Callithrix jacchus: one gene and its partner. Each later gene encodes a partner of the first gene's protein in a complex. Links are inferred from orthologs where the notes say so. Each region holds a gene or a part of one and is shown in the gene's direction. Other genes may lie near its edges.

What was found.
Region 2: BAZ1A (region 1) and CHRAC1 share a complex: the UniProt entries of both Homo sapiens proteins name them as parts of the CHRAC ISWI chromatin remodeling complex. The link is inferred for Callithrix jacchus from reciprocal best matches to the Homo sapiens genes BAZ1A and CHRAC1.

What each region holds. Positions count from the first base shown.
Region 1 is NC_133509.1:69,375,805-69,385,672, reverse strand, and holds the start of BAZ1A (bromodomain adjacent to zinc finger domain protein 1A), read left to right. Parts: upstream 1-3,840; 5' UTR 3,841-3,901; intron 3,902-9,868. UniProt on the Homo sapiens protein: Regulatory subunit of the ATP-dependent ACF-1 and ACF-5 ISWI chromatin remodeling complexes, which form ordered nucleosome arrays on chromatin and slide edge- and center-positioned histone octamers away from their original location on the DNA template to facilitate access to DNA during DNA-templated processes such as DNA replication, transcription, and repair.
Region 2 is NC_133517.1:57,026,038-57,035,902, reverse strand, and holds the start of CHRAC1 (chromatin accessibility complex protein 1), read left to right. Parts: upstream 1-4,676; 5' UTR 4,677-4,742; coding exon 4,743-4,901; intron 4,902-5,341; exon of another isoform or gene 5,342-5,657; intron 5,658-7,265; coding exon 7,266-7,392; intron 7,393-8,006; coding exon 8,007-8,128; 3' UTR 8,129-9,865. UniProt on the Homo sapiens protein: Forms a complex with DNA polymerase epsilon subunit POLE3 and binds naked DNA, which is then incorporated into chromatin, aided by the nucleosome remodeling activity of ISWI/SNF2H and ACF1.

The sequences.
Region 1 (9,868 bases):
TCTTGTACATAAACCTGATATAAATTGATTCCTTCTGGCCAGGTGTGGTAGCTCACACCTGTAATCCCAGCACTTTGGGAGGCTGAAGTGGGTGGATCACTTGAGGCCAGGGGTTTGAGACCAGCCTGGGCAACATGGTGAAATCCTGTCTCTACTAAAGCAAAAGTTAGCTGGGTGTGGTGGCCCACGACCTATAGTCCCAGCTACTTGGGAGGCTGAGGCACCAGAAACATTTGAACGTGGGAGGCACAGGTTTTAGTGAGCTGATATTGAGCTGCTGCACTCCAGCCTGAGCAACAGAGCAAGACACTGTCTCAAAAACAACAACTAAATTTGATCTCTCACCTACTAGTTGCAGCTTCAGTTTGGGAGATTTTTGTTCTTTTGTACTGTTAAAATTCCATACTTACAAATAGTCTTATCACAGTGGTCAGCTCTTCTTCCACCATGGTGATTAGTGACAGCATGCCATAGAATTCCTCTGATATGCCAACCCAGAAACCTTAGCAAAATAAAGGAAAAGGGATTCATTTTGAATGAAATTCTAAGCGCCCATGTTTTTTTTTTTGAAACGGAGTTTCGCTCTTGTTACCCAGGCTGGAGTGCAATGGCACGATCTCTGCTCACCACAACCTCCGCCTCCTGGGTTCAAGCAATTCTCCCGCCTCAGCCTCCTGAGTAGCTGGGATTACAGACACGCACTACCATGCCCACCTAATTTTTGTATTTTTAGTAGAGACGGGGTTTCACCATGTTGACCAGGATGGTCTTGATCTCTTGACCTCGTGATCTACCCGCCTCAGCCTCCCAAAGTGCTGGGATTATAGGCTTGAGCCACCACGCCCGGCCAGCTTCTTTTTTTTTTTTTTCCACACTTATTGCCCAGGCTAGAGTGCAATGGCACTATCTCAGCTCACTGCAACTTCCACCTCCCAAGTTCAAGTAATTCTTCTGCCTCAGCCTCCCGAGTATCTGGGATTACAGGCATGTGCCACCACGCCTAGCTAATTTTGTAGTTTTAATAGAGATGGGGTTTCTCCACGTTGGTCAGGCTGGTCTTGAAATCCTGATCTCAGGTGATCTGCCCATCTCAGCCTCCCAAAGTGCTGGGATTACAGGTGTGAGCCACTTTGCCCGGCCACCCATGTTGGCTTCTAATGATGACTGCGTACTTCTATAAATACACATAAGCCAATGCTTAATAAACTGCTACAGAATGTTGCAGGCTCTTGGATTCAAACTTTCCACCATGTGGAAAAGACTATTAGACTATTGAAAATTTGGAAAGTTGTCAGTCTACACTTTTCCAGAAACTGATCACTCCTACCTCATTCTTAACATAATTTCTCAGAGATTACTAATGCTGGTTCTGAAATCACTGGGCGAATTCTTTCAATATCTCCAGAGTCCTGGAGTCTTGAATTCTGTAGAAGAGAGAGGTAATATTTATCATATTTTCATGTATTATGGGCTTTTAGTCCATCTTACATTGTTCATTTAACATACATAAACGAAGCATCATAATGTGCTGAACTTGGACAAAGTTGAATAACAAAGGAGTTTACTTCTTATTTGGCAGGAGAAATATATCCCCAACCAATACAAACTGATTGTAATATGAGAGAAATGGATTGGAATGGGGCACATGAACTTCTGTGTGTGAAAATAGCTGGTCTTAAAGTTCAGAATATCTAATACTGCACTGGTATTATAGATATGCAAAGTTTAACATCTGTCCCAGGGGTATGAACAATGTTAAAGAGTTTTATCTGGGGTACCTAGACGGCAGCATCCCAGAAGTATTTTGATATTTTTTCCAGCTTGAAAATATTGTTTGTTGCTTAGAAGATGGAAACAATATAGTAATCAAGTTGCTGAGCTCTTTTTTTCAGCTGCTAAAATTATATAATTTTCCTCAAAAAGTAGGTCAATTTCTTTGCTGAAGTATTTCTTCCTACAAACTTCTTTTATTTTTTTTTTTTGAGATAGGGTTTTACTCTCAGTAAAACCTGGGGTTCAGTGGGGTGATCTTGGCTCATCGCATCCTCAACCTCCCGGGTTCAAGCGATCTTCCCACCTCAGTCTCCCAAGTAGCTGGAACTACAGGTGTGTAACACCACACTAGGTGAAATTTTAAGAAGTTTTTTTGTAGAGACAAGGTCTCACCATGTTTCCCAGGCCAGTATGGAACTCCTGGGCTCAACTAATCCTCCTGCCTCAGCCTCCCAAAGTGTTAGGATTACAGGCATAAGCCACAGTGCCTGACTTGCCTGGCTTACAAACTTCTAAAGAGTCTGCAGATGGAAGATAAAGACAATTTATATCAAGGTAGAGAAATAACAAGATAGCCATTTAAACATTTTGATATTATGATGTAAGTTTTGGTTTTAGGGCATACAGTCCATGCTAAAGGTAGATTTGACTTTAGAAATATCTACCTGTAACATATTTTATGATCTGCCTCAAAATCTGCTTTTTCCAACTTAAGAACAGTGGTAGGGAAGATAATTAATAATAAAATTTGCTCATGCCAGGCACCTATCTTATTTGATCCTCAGAACAATCCTCCGAGGTAGGCACTATTATTAACTCCATTTACAGATCAGGAAATAGGCAGAGATATTAACTGATATACACACACTGTTTAGTTGTAGCCATTAAGTGCCAGAGATAGGATTTAAATCCAAGCCTACCTAACTTCAGGTAATAAATGAGTGACCACCATAAAAACTGCTCTTTTTATCTGTTGTAGTTCTTTGCTACACTATTAGGTAAAGCTCACCTTTCTACCTTTCTTCAAATTGCCAAGAGGATATTCCAGATTCAGACTTGAAATGATGCTTAGAAGCCCCTAAGCAATGTCATCCCTATTGTGTGTCTGTGGTGGTGGTTTTTCTAAAGCCCCATGCTTTAGAAAATGGGGCTTTAGAAAGACATAGACATATAAAAATAAAAACCAAAAAAAAAAAAAGGAAGGGGGCTTCTGTTCTTTGAGGAGAGGTTTATGTACTCATTTGTCCCCCCAGGACCTATTTGAATATATGCTTTTTTTTTCCCTGTCCCTGGCATCCCTGCATATATCTGAAACAGACAGAAATTATGGACATGTACCCTCCCCCAGGTACTCTATCTTACATTTTCAGATTTTGAACTCAATACCCGATTGTAGCCCATTTATTAGAATTCATATAATGAATAAAAAAAGAATATGTTTTTCTCTAATAATTTATTTAATTGTTCAGTAATTTCATCTTCTCTAACAAAAGGGATTAAAAGCATGCCATACCTGGCCAGGCATGGTGACTCATGCCTCTAATCCCAGCGCTTTGGGAGACCAAGGCATGAGGATTGCTTGAGCCCAAGAGTTTGGGATCAGCTTGGGCAACACAGTGAGACCCCCCCACCCCCCAGTCTGTATGCAAAAGAAGAAAAATTTACAAAACACACATACACCTTTACTTCACTATGAATTACAATAACTGACCTTACCACTTGTGGCTCAGCCACTAGTGCAATGGTGCAATCTCCGCTCACTGCAACCTCTTGCACCTGGGTTCAAGCCATTCTCCTGCCTCAGCCTCCCGAGTAGCTGGGATTACACGCATGTATCACCACACCCAACTGATTTTTGTATTTTTAGTAGAGACAGGGTTTTGCCATGTTAGCCAGGCTGGTCTCGAACCCCTGAACTCAGGTGATCTGCCTGCCTCAGCCTCCCAAAGTGATAGGATTATAGGCGTAAGCCTGGCCGTGACCAAGTTTAATAGAATGTTGAGATTATACTACTGTTTTCCTGTAGGTTACTGGTTTTTAACTGCTGAAAGGAAAAAGCCAGTAAATAGAACATAGTCACAGCAATATGAAATTCAGCCTATAACTTTCCAACAGCCCCCCAAAAAAGGTAATTTGTATTTTTTAGCTATTTACAGCTTTTGTTGTCTTTAACTGTATTTGGCATTTAGGACCTGACTATCTTATTTGAATACTGTTTGGAATCAACTGTGTATAAATTACTCCAGATTTCTTTAGAAAAATTGTGAAACAGATGAAGTTGTTTTTCCCATTAATCCTCCATTCTTCTTCTCCTTCTTCTCCTTCTTCTTCTCCTTGTTCTCCTTCTCCCTTCTTCTTTTTTTTGAGTTGGAATTTCACTTTTGTTGCCCAGGTTGGAGTACAATGGTGTGATCTCAGCTCACCGCAACCTCTCCCTTCAGGGTTCAAGCGATTATCCTGCCTCAGCCTCCCAAGTAGCTGGAATTATTAATTTTGTATTTTTAGTAGAGACAGGGTTTAACCATGTTGGCCAGGCTGGTCTCAAACTCCTGGCCTCAAGTGATCCACCCATGATGGCATCCCAGAGTGCTAAGATTACAGCCGTGAGCCACTGCACCTGGCCTACTCTTTTCAATTAAATACATTTAAAAAAAAATTCCACATGAATATGAACATATATTGTGCATCATTTAGTAAACATATTTGCTCATTTATTTTGCTTATATAAATGGTGACCAAAACTTTTTGATCAGTAACTTTACATTTAAGGGTGCAGACAACGGATGTTCCATTTTCATTATTTGGTTAAATTGTAAACATTAAATTGTACCTATGTTTCAGAACTTAATGAATCAGAGATAAAACTCAAGTAATTTGATGAACTCTACTTATTCTTTCTGATTCATATAAAGTATATTTTTCTGATTACTTGTGGATTCTTCATGCATTTGTTTATGCTGTATAATTATTCAGTTACTAATCATGGGTTTATTAGGCATGTTTTATAGACTTACCACTTTAAGAGAAATAAATACTTTTTCTCTAAACAAAAAAAAGGACACATACTCTGACAAATATATCTCTGGTGACAATGTTTCTGAATCACAGAATAGACTATCCTTCAAAATCTAAAACATAATGTTGCCAAATATATCAATTACTGAACAAATAAAGTCATTGTATAATTCAATGATAAAAAGTGATTTATTAGGGCCGGGCGTGGTGGCTCAAGCCTGTAATCCCAGCACTTTGGGAGGCGGGTGGATCATGAGGTTAAGAGATCGAGACCATCCTGGTCAACATGGTGAAACCCCGTCTCTACTCAAAATACAAAAAATTAGCTGGGCATGGTGGCGCGTGCCTGTAATCCCGGCTACTTGGGAGGCTGAGGCAGGAGAATTGCTTGAACCCAGGAGGCGGAGGTTGTGGTGAGCCGAGATCACACCATTGCACTCCAACCTGGGTAACAAGAGCTAAACTCCGTCTCAAAAAAAAAAAAGTGATTTATTGAATACCATTGATGTGCCAAGCACTTTATATACATTATACCTAATTTTTATGGCAACCTTGTAAGATGGCTGATATTATTTCCAATTTATAGATATAGAACCTAAGATTTAGGGTGGGAGTGGAGAGAGAGGGTGATGTAACTTGTCTAAGATCAAATGGCTGGTCTGTGCCAGAGCTGGGTCTCAAATTCAAAGCTGGTCTAACACCAAAGCCCATGTTCCTTCTCTAACGGTGCATTAGCTCAAATAACTTATGATGTCCTAGTGAGTCCTAGCGTACAGATACTTGTGGTTAAGAAAGGACAGAGAGAGAAATCAGAAGTGAGTCAGATAGACCTGGGTTGAATATTGGCTATACTGTCTCTATCACTTAATAGTTGTATGACGGCCGGGCACGGTGGCTCAAGCCTATAATCCCAGCACTTTGGGAGGCCAAGGCTGGTGGATCACGAGGTCAAGAGATCGAGACCATCCTGGTCAACATGATGAAACCCCGTCTCTACTAAAAATACAAAAAATTAGCTGGGCATGGTGGCATGTGCCTGTAATCCCAGCTACTCGGGAGGCTGAGGCAGCAGAATTGCCTGAACCCAGGAGGTGGAGGTTGTGGTGAGCCCAGATCGCGCCATTGCACTCCAGCCTGGGTAACAAGAGCGAAACTCTGTCTCGAAAAAAAAAAAAATAGTTGTATGACTTTGAGCATGACATCTTCTCTGAGCCTTCATTTTCTTCTTAGTAAAATGGGCTTAGCAATACTTACTCAGAAGATTAAAAGAGGTATTGTATGTATTGCTCTTGACACAGTGCCTAGCACATAGTAAGCATTCAATAATTGCTATCTGCTATTTCCATTGTGATTTTATAGTAGCAGTTCAAAGTGGCATTGATGTATTCTAGTAAAAATGTTATCATTGGCCGAGCTTGATGGCTCATTCCTGAAATCCCAGAGTTTAGGTGGACCGAGGCTGAAGGATCGCTTCAGGCCAGGAATTCAAGACCACCCCAGCCAACATAGTGAGATTCCCCATCTCTACCAAAACAGAACAACAACAACAACAAAACCTAGCCAGATGTGGTGGCACATGCCTGTAGTCCCAGCTACTTGGGAGGCTGAGGCTGGAGAATTACTTGAGCCTGGGAGGCAGAGGTTACAGTGAGCCAGGATCTCACCACTGCACTTCAGCTTGGGCAACAGAGTAAGAACCTGTCTCAAAAAAAAAAAAAAGGAAAAAAAAAAAAGCCAGGGAGAAGGGGGAGAAGTGGAGAGCGTGGCTAGAGAAGGAAGCCAAAAGAATGTATTATAACAGGAAGCTAATGAGTAGATGACAGACAGAATGGCTAAGGTTTTGAAGGCTGTGCTAAAGAGTTTTTCTATTGTTGTTTTTTGTTTGTTTTTGTTTTTCAGACAGGGTCTCACTCTCTCGGGCAAGCTGGAGTGCAGTGGCACGATCTGGGCTCACTGCAACCTCTGCCTCCTGGGTTCAGGTGATTCTCCTGCCTCAGTCTCCCACGTAGCTGGGATTACAGGCATGCACCACTACACCCAGCTAATTTGTGTTTTTATTTTGTATTTTATTTTATTTTATTTATTTTTTGAGATGGAGTCTCTCACTGTTGCCCAGGTTGGAATGCAGTGGTGAAGTCTCGGCTCACTGCAACTTCTGCCTCCCAGGTTCAAGTGATTCTCCTGCCTAAGCCTCCTGAGTAGCTGGGATTACAGGCACCCGCCACCACGCCCAGCTAATTTTTTGTATTTTTAGTAGAGAGAGGGTTTCACCTGTTTGCCAGGCTGGTCTGAAACTCCTGACCTTGTGATCCGCCTGCCTCAGCCTCCCAAAGCACTGGGATTACAGGCAAGAGCCACGATGCCTGGTCCTAATTTTGTATTTTTAGAAGAGATGAAGTTTCACCATGTTGGCCAGGCTGGTCTCAAACTCCTGACCTCAAGTGATAGACCTGCTTCAGCCTCTCAAAGTGCTAAGATTACAGGTGTCAGCCACCACTCCCAGCCTAAAGAGTTTTAGCTTTAACAACAATGGGGAAGAATTTACAGACTTATATTCAGTGACATGATTAGATTTTATTTTATTATTTATTTATTTATTTGAGACAGAGTCTCACTCTGTCACCAGGCGCCAGGCTGGAGTGCAGTGGCGTGATCTCAGCTCACTGCAACCTCCGCCTCCCGGGTTCAAGCAATTCTCTTGCTTCAGCCTCCCAAGTAGCTGGGACTACAGGGGCGCGCCACCACACCCAGATAATTTTTTTGTATTTTTAGTAGAGACGGGGTTTCACCGTGTTGGCCAGGATGGTCTCGATCTCTGGACCTCGTGATCCACCCACCTTGGCCTCCCAAAGTGCTGGGATTACAGGCATGAGCCACTGTGCCCGGCCTAGATTTTATTTTTAAAACAACACTGTAGTGTGGAGAGCTGCTCGAGAGAAGAAAGAAAATATAGGCAGATTAAGCGGTACTATTTCAAGCATGAGCTGATTGGTTTGAATTGGATTGGTGATAGTAGTAATGATAGGAAAATTAGGAAACTCAAAATTTAAGAGAGTTAAAAGAAAAAACAAGATTTTTATGGATTGGATAGTAGCAATTAAGGGAAAATGTGGTATTATCATGAAATCTAGTCATGCTCTAGAGATAATTTAGGTGCTAAGTGATTAACAACTGCCAAAACAAGACAAAAGTCTTTCTAAGATGTAGTTGAATATTAAGTTTTATCAATAAACTTGATATATTTTAGTTGGAAACAATTAACTATACGAAGCATTAGTAAAAATCTAAATTATTTCTAATTTTGCTATTAGCTATGATATGCCATATTAATGTGTCCTCTCATAAAACTGAAATGGTATTTTATTTAATTTTAATTTTTATTTTTTGAGGCAAAGTCTCACTGTCGCCCAGGCTGGAGTGCAGTGGCGCAGTCTCAGCTCACTGCAACCTCCACCTCCCAGGTTCAAGCAATTCTCCTGCCTCACCCTCCCAAATAGCTGGGATTACAGGTGAGCACCACCATGCCCAGCTAATTTTTATATTTTTGGTAGAGATGGAGTTTCACCATGTTGGCAGGCTGGTCTCAAACTCCTGACCTCAAACTCCTGATCTGACTGCCTCTGCCTCCTAAAGTTCTGGGATTACAGGCATGAGCAACTGCATCTGGCCTGATATTGTATTTTAGATGTATTTTTAAATTTGCAAGTTGTGGCTGCACTGTTGGTTCTGACTCATTACTCATGAATGTCTTTCATCCCAGCTTGGTAGAAGCCTTTATGGGTATTAAAGTTCATAACACCCCTGACAGACAGTTTATAGGTAATTAAATTCTGTGATCTACCCACTTGATCTATGAATCAGTTCTTAGTTAATAGTCTCTTACATATTTCAAATGAAATAAAAAATTTAAATAATAATAATGGCACAAGCCACAGAGAAATACAAAGGAGTTTAAAATAACCATGAAAAAAACTTCTAAATTTTAAAATAGACCTATTTTAGAAATGTGTGAAACTTTATGCTTGAATGAGTTTAAGATGAACCTAGAATAATTCATTCCTTAAAAAAACATTTTTGGAGGCCTGCTGTGTGTCGGACACTGTGCTAGAGGTGGCTACATAATTATACATAAGAATTGTCAGCACCAGTCGGGTGCAGTGGCTCATGCCTATAATCAGCACTTTGAAAGGCATAGGTTGGAGGAATCATATGAGGCCAGGAGTTCGAGACCCGTGTGGCCAAACTGGTGAAACCCCATCTCTACTAAAAATAAAAAAATTAGCCTAGTGTGGTGGTGAGTGTGTGTAGTCCCAACTACTCAGGAGGCTGAGGCATGAGAATTGTTTGAATCCGGGAGGTGAAGTGCAGTGAGTTGGGATTATGCCAGTGCACTCCAGCCTAGGTAACAGAGCTAGTCTTAAAAAAAAAAAAGGACCCAAAAAACAATCCAGATGCTTCAAAGCATTCACTCATTTATTTAGAAGATGAAAATAAAAAACTACAATGTGTCAGATATTGTTTTAGAGGAGGAAGATACTATCCTTGCCCATCTCCATCCCAGGATTATTGACACATAAACAAATTGGTACAGTGTGTTATAGGAGATATGTAGGGGAATAAGAGTATCAAGAAAGAAGCCATGAATGTTATGGGTGTTTGTAGGGCTGGGAGTACAAGTGTTTCCTATAGAAGAAAATATCTGTTTAGTCTACTATGTATTCTTGATTTGTATTTGTAAAATGAGGGTCCACATAATGATATTTGACTTGTACAAAATATAATTTAGAGACAATAGTAGTTTTTATGCTGGCAAATTAAAATTATGTAGAACTTTGGGACCCCTTAAGTTTTTCTGGGTCCTACTAATTTTGTCAATTTTAGCTCTACATAATGCAATATATGTTTTATCTGAAGTTGAGAGGTACTGAGGAACAACACACTGTTGTTCTTGCACAGACTGGTTGCAACAGCTTTGGAATGTGTTTGTCAAATTAAGAGAAACAAAAACACAAAACGCTACAGTTGAAAATTGGCTTTTTATTAGATCTGCTACTTTGCTTCAAACTTTAAACTGTACCCA
Region 2 (9,865 bases), on another chromosome or scaffold:
TTAAAAGGAACTTTTCTACTTCCCACAATGAGGAAGGCAGAAACTTCTTAGCTCTTTTTTTTTTTTTTTGAGGAGTCTTGCTTTGGTGCTAAGGCTGGAGTGCAGTGGTGAGATCTCAGTTCACTGCCCTCTCTGCCTCCCGGGTTCAAGCGATTCTCCTGTCTCAGTCTCCCACGTAGCTAGGATCACAGGAGTGCGCCACCACACCCGGTTAATTTTTGTATTTTTAGTAGAGACGGCTTTCACCATGTTGGTCAGACTGGTCTCACACTCCTGACCTCAAGTAAGCCGCCTGCCTCAGCCTTCCAAAGTGTTGGGATGTCAGGCCTGAGTCACCACACCCAGGCACCCAGGCCAGAATTGTTTTCAAGGGTGTTGCTGGAGTTGGCGGAGTGTAACTGAGAAGGGAGAGGTACTCTGCAGCAAAAAGGAAGAGATGCTACCTAGAGATTAGGAAGCTGCGACTGCCCCTGGCCCCAAGCCCAGGAGCCCACACTCACCCCCAAGGGACTCGAGGAGCTGCTGCTGTTGAGCAGAAACCTAGAGTGAAGACGCTTAAAGCACCCTATGTGCAGGTGGTGATCCCTATAACCCCACACTGCAGTCACTACCCTGCAGCCAGCAGGCAGATAAACAAGGCTTCTTCCTCCGACCCCACTGCAGTCTCTCATAGAGGCCTCCCATTTGCAGAACCTACCCAGAAGCCAGCTGACAGGACACTCTGGGGAATGCAGAAAACTGCCTTGCAGCACCCTGGGATGCCCATGAGAATGGTACAGAGGCACTGTCGTGAAGACAAAGTGGGCCTCTAGAAAACGGAGCTAACAGCAGAATGAGACTAACTCACTGAGCTTTTTCCAGAGCCGGAAAGTTCTCAAGAATAACAGTCTTTAATTCTGCTGTCCTTTTTTTTTTTTTTTTTAAGAGATTGGGGGTCTTGTTATATTGCCCAGGCTGGTCTCAAACCCCTGGCTTGAAGCGTTTCTCCCACCTCGGCCTGCAAAAGTGTTGGATTTGTACAGGTATGAGCAATTGCACCGAGCTTGCTTTAAAAAAAAAAAAAAAAATGGTGAGCACTTCTTTTCCAGTCAAGATTTCCTGCTTGGCTTCTCTCTACTTCTCATATGATCAATGACTGCAAACATCACCTGCCAATTCTACAAGCCTAGCTTCTCATCCCTCTTCTCCTTGACTTCTTTTGGCTCTTCCTTCCTTCCTCTTATCCTGTGATCTTTCCTAACGTTAACCCAGCCTGCTCTCACACATACTCAAAACAGAAAGACAAGCCATATAAAAGACAACAGCCAGCTGGGGAAACAAAACATTTAACAGCCTCAGCAGGTATGTCATCACTATGGCTTGTTTCCTGTGTGGACCAAAGGACCCTCCTGTGTAGCTGCTTTCGTGTAGCAGTTCCCCGCCCTTGTCTTCTGTGAATGTCAAGGGCTTTCTCACTTACAGAGGCAAGGTCAGGAGAGAAAGACTAGGAGCACAGTCCTGAGGATGAAGCTCCACCTCCTGTCTGTGCAAACTCCCAGGAGTAGGCTCTACACAAGGCAGTGCCATTTTGTCATCACTCAAGAACCAGTGTGTGCTTTTAAAGTGGATCTGCTACCTTAAAAGCTTTTTCTTTTTGAGACAAAGTGTTGCTCTGTTGCCCAGGCTGGAGTGCAGTGGTGTGATCTCAGCTCACTGCAACCTCCACCTCCTGGGTTCAAGTGATTCTCCTGCCTCAGTCTCCTGAGTAGCTGGTACTACAGGTGCATGCCACAATGTCTGGCTCATTTTTGTATTTTTAGTAGACACTCCTGATCTCATGATCTGCCCACCTTAGCCTCCCAAAGTGCTGGGATAACAGGCGTGAGTCACTGAGCCAGGCCCAAAACTCTTTTTTATTTTTTATTTTTGAGACGGAGCTTCGCTGTTGTTATCCAGGCTGGAGTGCAATGGCGCTATCTCCGCTCACCGCAACCTCCGCCTCCTGGGTTCAAGCAATTCTCCTGCCTCAGCCTCCCGAGTAGCTGGGACCACAGGCACGCACCACCATGCCCAGCTAATTTTTGTATTTTTAGTAGAGACGGGGTTTCACCTTGTTGACCAGGATGGTCTCGATCTCTTAACCTCGTGATCCACCCGCCTCGGCCTCCCAAAGCGCTGGGATTATAGGCATGAGCCACCGCGCCCAGCCTATTTTTATTTTTTTGAGACGGAGTCTCACTCTGTTGCCCAGACTGGAGTGCAGTGATGTGATCTTGGCTCACCACAACCTCTGCCTCCCAGGTTCACACAATTCTCCTGCCTCAGCCTCCCAAGTAGCTGGGACTACAGGCACACACCACCATGCCCGGCTAATTTTTGTATTTTTAGTAGAGATGGGGTTTCACTATGCTGACCAAACTGGTCTTCAACTCCTGACCTGTGATCCACCTGCCTCAGCCTCCCCTTAATTTTTTTGTGAGATAGGATCTTGCTCTGTAGTTCAGGCTGGAGTGCAGTGGCGAAATCACCACTCATTGCAGCCTTGACCTGATGGGCTTAAGCCATTCTCCTGCCTCAGCCTCCAGAGTAGCTGGGAACACAAGTTCTCGCCACGATGCCCTATTAATTTTAAATTTTTTGTAGAGATGCTGTCTTGCTATGCTTCTCAGGCTAATCTCAAACTCCCGGGCTCAGCTCAAGCGATCTGCCTGCTTTAAACTTCCCAAAGTGCTGGGATTACAGGCATGTGCCACCTCGACTTCAAACGTCTTATTTTCCATTGCTCTTGAAATGAAAGCCAAGCTTCTGACCCATGCGGGAGCCAGTCCCACCACCCACCTCGTAAACAAGTCTCCCGTGCTGTCTGCCTCCATCGCTAAGCTCCAGCCACACTGGCTTTTCGATTCCTTAATCTGACCGGACATTTTCCTCTGAGGTGTTCTCCCCAGTCTGGCTTGTTTGAAAGCTCACCTTGTCTCAGTCTTCCTGTATGGTTGGCTCCTTTTCTTTCTTCAGATCTGGGCACAAATGATACTTCTCAGAGAGGCTAATTCTATCACTTGCACGTGATTTTGTTTTCTTCGTAGCATTCGGCATTGGGGTTTGTTTTTGAGACTGAGTCTTCCTCTGTCGCCTAGGCTGGAGTGCAGTGGCGCGATCTTAGCTCACTGCAACTTTTGCCTCCCGGATTCCAGCCATTCTCCTGCCTCAGCCCACCACCACCCCCAGCTAATTTTCTTATTTTCAGAAGACACCGGGTCTCACCATATTGGTCAGGCTGGTCTCAAACTCTTGACGTCAGGTGATCAAGCCGCCTAGGACTCCCAAGGTGCTGGGATTACAGGCGTGAGCCACCGCGCCTGACCGGAGGTGTTATTTTTCAGTCTCCCTCAGACACGCACGTCAGCTGTAAGAGGGCAGGGGCCATGGCAGCCCTGCTCACCGGTTGAACCCTTGCGCTAGCAATGCCTGACATGTATTTCTGTGCTCAATTATTTGGGCCGGGACCTGAGGTCACAGTGGTGAAGAAGACACTACACTCAACAGGCTCCAATTCAAACCTATGCCAAAATGTGCTCCTGCCACAGTGCTCCCTGAGTACACGGCTCTTTACCGAGGCCTTTCTGATACCTCAGAAAGCTGTGCTGTAGTCCACGTCACCTCAGCTCCCTCTTGAACTCAGACCCCAAATCCTACCACTTTCCAAGATCCTGGTAAAAGTTAAGTTGGACCCCTTACTTTTCCAAGGGCCTCCCCGCTCTAAAGGAGTGAATTCTGAGGTCCCCAAGGCACTCCCTGTTCTGGCCCCTAACCATCTCCTGCCACTCTCCTCTCAGCTGCTGTCCCCTTGGTCCAGCCGGCCTCCTGAGGGCCACGTTCCCGGGTTCTAATTACTTTCTACCTGGTCTCGATGATTCCGCCCTTACGCGCTCCCACGCCCTCCCAGCTGGCAGCTGCAGGGATCCTTTTAAAACTGTCCGGGACTCCTTAGCTCAAAGCCTTCCACGACTTCCCATTTTTTTCAGAGAAAAAAATCCATCAGGACCTAGCCCCGGGCTGCCTGTCAGACCTCAGCGAGCACACCCGGCTCTGGACGCCTTCTCTCGGAGCAGTCCCGGAGAGGCAGTTGCCGCGGGCTCCGGACCCTCCTCAGGGCAGCTCCCCCAGCCCCGCCCACAGGAAGGCGCTTCTCCCCATTACCCCGCGGCGCAGCGAGCCCGGCCTCGCCGCATCGCCCGCGCTGCTGCTCTCTGCTCCTCCACGGGCCGCCTAGCTACTGGTGCAGGACGCCTTCGCTAGTCCGCTTGGCCGTCCCCCGACGACTCTGTGCTGCAGGAAAGTCCACGGCACCACGCCCGGCCCTGGCACAGCGCAGGCGCTTAACACACAGCACCGAGCGATGAGGCTCGGACTCAAAGAGCTTTGCTTGCCCATTCGCAGCGCCCTGGACCTCAAAATCCCGTCCCGCGATCACGGTTCGCAGGCTCCTGAGTGGGACGCCTCCGCCCAGCCCGCGTCGGGCCTCGCACTCGGCGCGGGGGTGGGAGAAGGGGGGGCAGGGTCCGAGCGCCAGCGCATGCGCAGGGCGCGCGCGCGAGGCATCACGGGGTTCGTAGTCTCCCGAAGAGGCCGCTCCCGGCCGCGCGACCGCGCCTCCCCACACTACAACTCCCACGGGGCAGCGGGCGCGGCTCCTCGCACCCACCGGCTGGCCGGGTAAGACAGCCACTTCGCGGTCGGGCCCGCCGGCTGCCGCCCGCGCAATGAGCGGGAAGATGGCGGACGTGGTCGTGGGCAAAGACAAGTGCGGGGAGCAGCGGCTCGTCTCGCTGCCCTTGTCACGCATCCGGGTCATCATGAAGAGCTCCCCAGAGGTGTCCAGCATCAACCAGGAGGCGCTGGTGCTCACGGCCAAGGCCACGGTGAGGGGGCGGGGGTGGGGCCGCCTTTGCTCGTTGCGCCCCGCCCCGCCAGGCTCCCGGCACTGTCCAGTCCCCTTAGACCCGAGCGCCTCCCGCTGCCCTTACCGGGCTCGCGCGCGCCCCCCCTCTCCCTCCCACGCCCCCCCTCTCCCTCCCACGCCGGCGCGCGCCGGAGTGGCAGCGCGCCCCTACCCGCGGCACCCCCTCCCTTTCTCGCGCGTCTTCGCCCCGCCCACCCCGCGCCGCTCCCTCCCTGTCTCTAGTTTCTTCGTCCCATACACCGCGACCCGCTCCCGCCCTTTCTCGCTCTTTTCGCTCCTCCTTTCCTCGCGCACCTTCGGCCCCGTCCACCCCGTCGCGCTCCCGCCCTCCATCGCGTGTTTCCGTCCCGCAAACCCATAAGCTCCCAAGTTCCCTTGCGCGCCTTTTGTTCCGCCCACCTGTATGCTCCCGTAGTCCCTCGCGCACCGCGCTCAGCTTCCGGCCCTACCCGTAGACTTCGGCGCCAAGTGGAGTTGGCCTCATTTGGTTTCTTTGGCGGCTCTTTCACCCGCGACTCCCTATTCCTGGCCTTCCTTTTTCTTGCCGTTGGTCTGCTTCTTTCTTTGAGGGTCCTAACTCCTCCAGTGTTCCGTGGGAGGGGCAGCCGGGCGCTCCACCCAAGGCTCGAGGCTTTTCTCCCGCGGGTCAGGCGCCAGCTCCAGCGCTCCCAGGCTTTCGAGCCCCCCGCTCCGCACCACACCTGGCACCTCCTCTAAGAGAAAGCACATCCCCCAGCCAGAATTTAAGGAAGTCTAGGGGACCTAGATTTATAGCCTCTTAAGCATCCTCCTGGGTACAAAATAGATTTTGTCTTTTTAAAAAACATTGCGTGTTGATAGTGTTAGGCTAGATGTTTTTCTGTTCTGAGACTGGGCCATGTTTTAGCTACACAGTTAAAGGCTTTAACTTGTCTTAGATCCTATTTCCCAGTCCCGGCTTGTATTTAAGTACATAATGTCCCTACAGTGTTCGACCAGAACTAAGGGAAATGGGAAATTACAGATTTCTCGCCTGCTGTATTATACCAGAGCCATGTTTTCCTAGAGCCCAGGGAAGTAATTACATATTCAGCATTTCACCTGGGGACATTTGTGTTTTCCTGTACAATTTCATTTTATTACTTTTAGGGAATGAGGATTTATGCAGGCACTTAAGATTTCTAATTAATTTTTTTGATACGGAGTCTCACTCTGTTCCCCAGGCTGGAGTGCAGTGCAGATCTTGCTCACTGCAACCTCAGCCTCCCTACTCGCTGGGATTACAGCCACCCGCCATGACACTCGGCTGATTTTTGTATTTTTTTTTTGGTAGAGACAGGGTTTCACGATGTTGCCCAAATTGGTCTTGAACACCTGACCTCAGGTGATCCGTCTGTCTTGGCCTCCCAAAATGCTGGGATTACAGGCTTGAGCCACCATGCCCATCCTCATCCCTTATTAACTGAACTAGATGCATTGAAATCAAAACCTTGAGGAAGAGGCTTAGTTTATCCTCTGTAAAAATGAAGACCTGGCCCTGCTTTAAGAACTGTGGTTGGGGAGGGGAAGATGTCCGGTTGTTGCATTAGGTCTGAGGATTGTCAGTTCTAGAAAAGTCAGCAGAATAGGAGGTGTGGTCACTATCGTTATAGGTGAACCACCTTAGAAACAGTGTATGCAAATAGAAGACAAAATGTATTCCTGAGCCAAACAGAATTTTTGAATGGCTTTTTGCTTCTTTTACTCTAGAGGTTGCTCATTGAACAGTTATGATTCGTATTTTTCATAAGTTAGACATCTAAGACTCTGGAAAATGCCTGCTTCTCCGCCAATTTTGATACCAGCCTTGCTTGCTTTCTGACCTCATGTTTTTCCTTTCCCCAGTGATATATTTATTTATTTGTTTTTAAGACGGAGTCTCACTCTTTTGCACAGGTTAGAGTGCTGCAACTTCCAACCTCCACGTCCCAAGTTCAAGTGATTCTCCTTCCTCAGCCTCCCAAGTGGCTGGGATTACAGGCACCTGCCACCATGCCCAACTAATTTTTGAATTTTTAGTAGAGATGGGGTTTCACCATGTTGGCCAGTCTGGTCTCAAACTCCTGATCTCAAGTGATCCGCCTGGCTCAGCTTCCCAAGGTGTTGGTATTACTGGGTGTGAGCCACCATGTCTGGCCTCCCCAGTGATTTCTTGTAATTTAATTTGAGAAACCAAGATAATCTGAAGTCTTAATGTAATTTTAAGCCTGTTATAAGCTTATCAACAGCATAATTTTAAAAATTGAGCTCTGGGGTAAATTTTCAAAGCACATCTTTCATTTTACTTTTTCTTTTTTTTTTTTAGGAGCTCTTTGTTCAATATCTAGCTACCTATTCCTACAGACATGGCAGTGGAAAGGAAAAGAAAGTACTGACTTACAGTGATTTAGCAAACACTGCAGAGGAATCAGAAACTTTTCAGTTTCTTACAGGTACTTAGTCTTTGAAACATTCTGGTTGAAAAATGAATAGTCAGCAATAGCTACTCCCATACCCCTTGCCTCCCTTCTGCTTTGAAGGAATTAGACTTTTTGCTACTTTTTCCAAGCCTCAAAGGTACTATGAGCTGTCACTGGAAGATACTTTTAGTCTTGTCTGAATGTGTTTGTAATGTAGTCCACCTAGAACAATAAAATGAAGCCAATAGCATGCACAAGATGCTGGTTGGCTGCGTGTGCTGGGCAGTCCTTTCCCTTCTTCCTACGACGGGAGGGAAAGCTCAGGGTAAGTGTACATGCCTATAGTTAGAAAGAGCTTAAGTCTGCCCTGGGCCAGTTTAGTCTATCTCAGCTAATTGGGCAGGGTTGCTCATAAAGCGGCTCATAGAGACACCATGGTTTGTACTGAGTGAAATGGAAATAGTCCTATAGCATTCGTTAGGAGACAGTGCTAGTTTCCCTGATATTTTACCCAGAAGTATAGTCTCAATTTCATCTTGTTTTGGAAACTCTTGTAGAGGTCAAATCAGGAAATAGTACATTTTGAAATTTGCATTACTGTGTTCATAGTCTACCATAATGGCTGATGTAAACTTTATGTTTTTAAGATATATTACCAAAGAAGATTTTAGCTAGTAAATACCTGAAAATGCTTAAAGAAGAAAAGAGGGAAGAAGATGAGGAGAATGACAGTGATAATGAAAGTGACCATGATGAAGCCGAATCCTAAACCAAAAAAGTGCTTTAGAACCAGCCTGGTGAGGACTGCCCTGGACCCGCTCCACTGTCTCCAAGCATACACAACACTGCACACCGTTAGCATCTTTCCAGGCCAAGACTGAGTGCCTCATGCACCTACGCCATAAACAGCCAGAGGGAGAGTGACCCAGACGACAGCCTCTCGACAGGCCCACTCTGCAGCTCAGGCACCAAGAAAGCAGCTGAGACCGGCAGCCATTGCCGGCTGATCTGCAGCTCCAAACTGTAGAGGCAAGGCCTACTTTAACTTTTAAATTTACAATCAATTTTAAAGAGCTTCCACGTATCAGTTATGTAAATTTTCATATATGTATATTTTGGAATCAGTTCTTATAAACAGCTAGATTCAGTTTTAGCTGGTCATATGTTACATTTGAATTTTTGTCTTTTAAGAAAAGTTGTTCAAATATTTTTCTACTGTAAAGAAATATACTTTTCTGTTAAAGATCTGTATGTATTTTTACAGTAAAATGCTTTATGGAACTAGTTTTAGAGCCCTCCATGGCTCTGAGGCCTTGGTTACTGCCTACAAATTTTTTGAAATTTAAAAATAAGCATTCTAACACTTTTATTCCCACAGAAAAATTCCAAGTCAAATTATCAAATCAAATACAAAGTAAGTCTTACCTCTTGTATAAGCTTGTTGTTCTAAAAAAAATTGCAAAACACTGTATGTTTAAGATCTTTCTCATCTCACTGTTCTTTGCTTTAAATTCCTGGCACTTGCTTTTACTGTCTAAGAGCAAACCTATCATAAGCCCAATTTTTTTTTTCTCACATAGGGTAAATGTTTAGCTCTTCTTTTCTTTTTTCATTATCTTTTTTTTTTTTTTTTAAAGACAGATTCTCTGTTGTGCCATCTTGGCTCACTGCAGCTTCTGCCTCCCAGATTCAAGCGATTCTCTTGCTCAGCCTCCCAAGTAGCTGGGATTATAGGCATGTGCCACCACGCCTGATGAATTTTTATAATTCTAGTAGAGACGAGGTTTCACCTTGTTGACCAAGCTAGTCTCAAACTCTTGACCTCAAGTGATCTGCCCTCCTTGGCCTCCCAAAGTGCTGGGATTACAGGTGTGAGCCACTGCACCCAGCCTTCATTATTTCTTTTTTAAAAACAAAAAAGTTTATTTCCTGAAGTTACTCTGCATGAAGGAAAAATTAAAAAATAATTAAGAATAAAAAGTTTATAATTTACATTCAGTAAAGTCACCCTTTTTAGTGTCTAGTCTGTGAATTTGGACAAATGTATGGTTTTATCACCAATCGCTAGGCAGGACAGTTCCATCACCCATGACATTCCCCAATGCCCCCATACTCAGACTTGTCTCCTGCCCTCTAGCAGCCACCGGTGTTTTCTGTGCCTCTTGTTTATTAACATTTAATTTTTAGGTTACTATTACTAAATCTTCTAAGAAGAAAGAAAAACCCCCAAACATTTATTTTAAAATAATTAAAAATCTACTCTTTGGTGTACAGTTCTGAGTTTTGACAAATGCAGTCAAGTCACCACCACCACAACTAACAACTACATCATCCTCCAAAAAATTCCCTTGTGGTCAACTCCTTCCCCACCTTTTACCCTGGCAACCGTCAAGCTATCTCTGTCCCTATAGCAGGTATCAGATTTTTTTCTGGAAAGGGCCATGCAGTAAATAGTTCAAGCTTTGTGGCCTTTTATCGTCCCTGTTGCAGCTACTAAACTATGCTG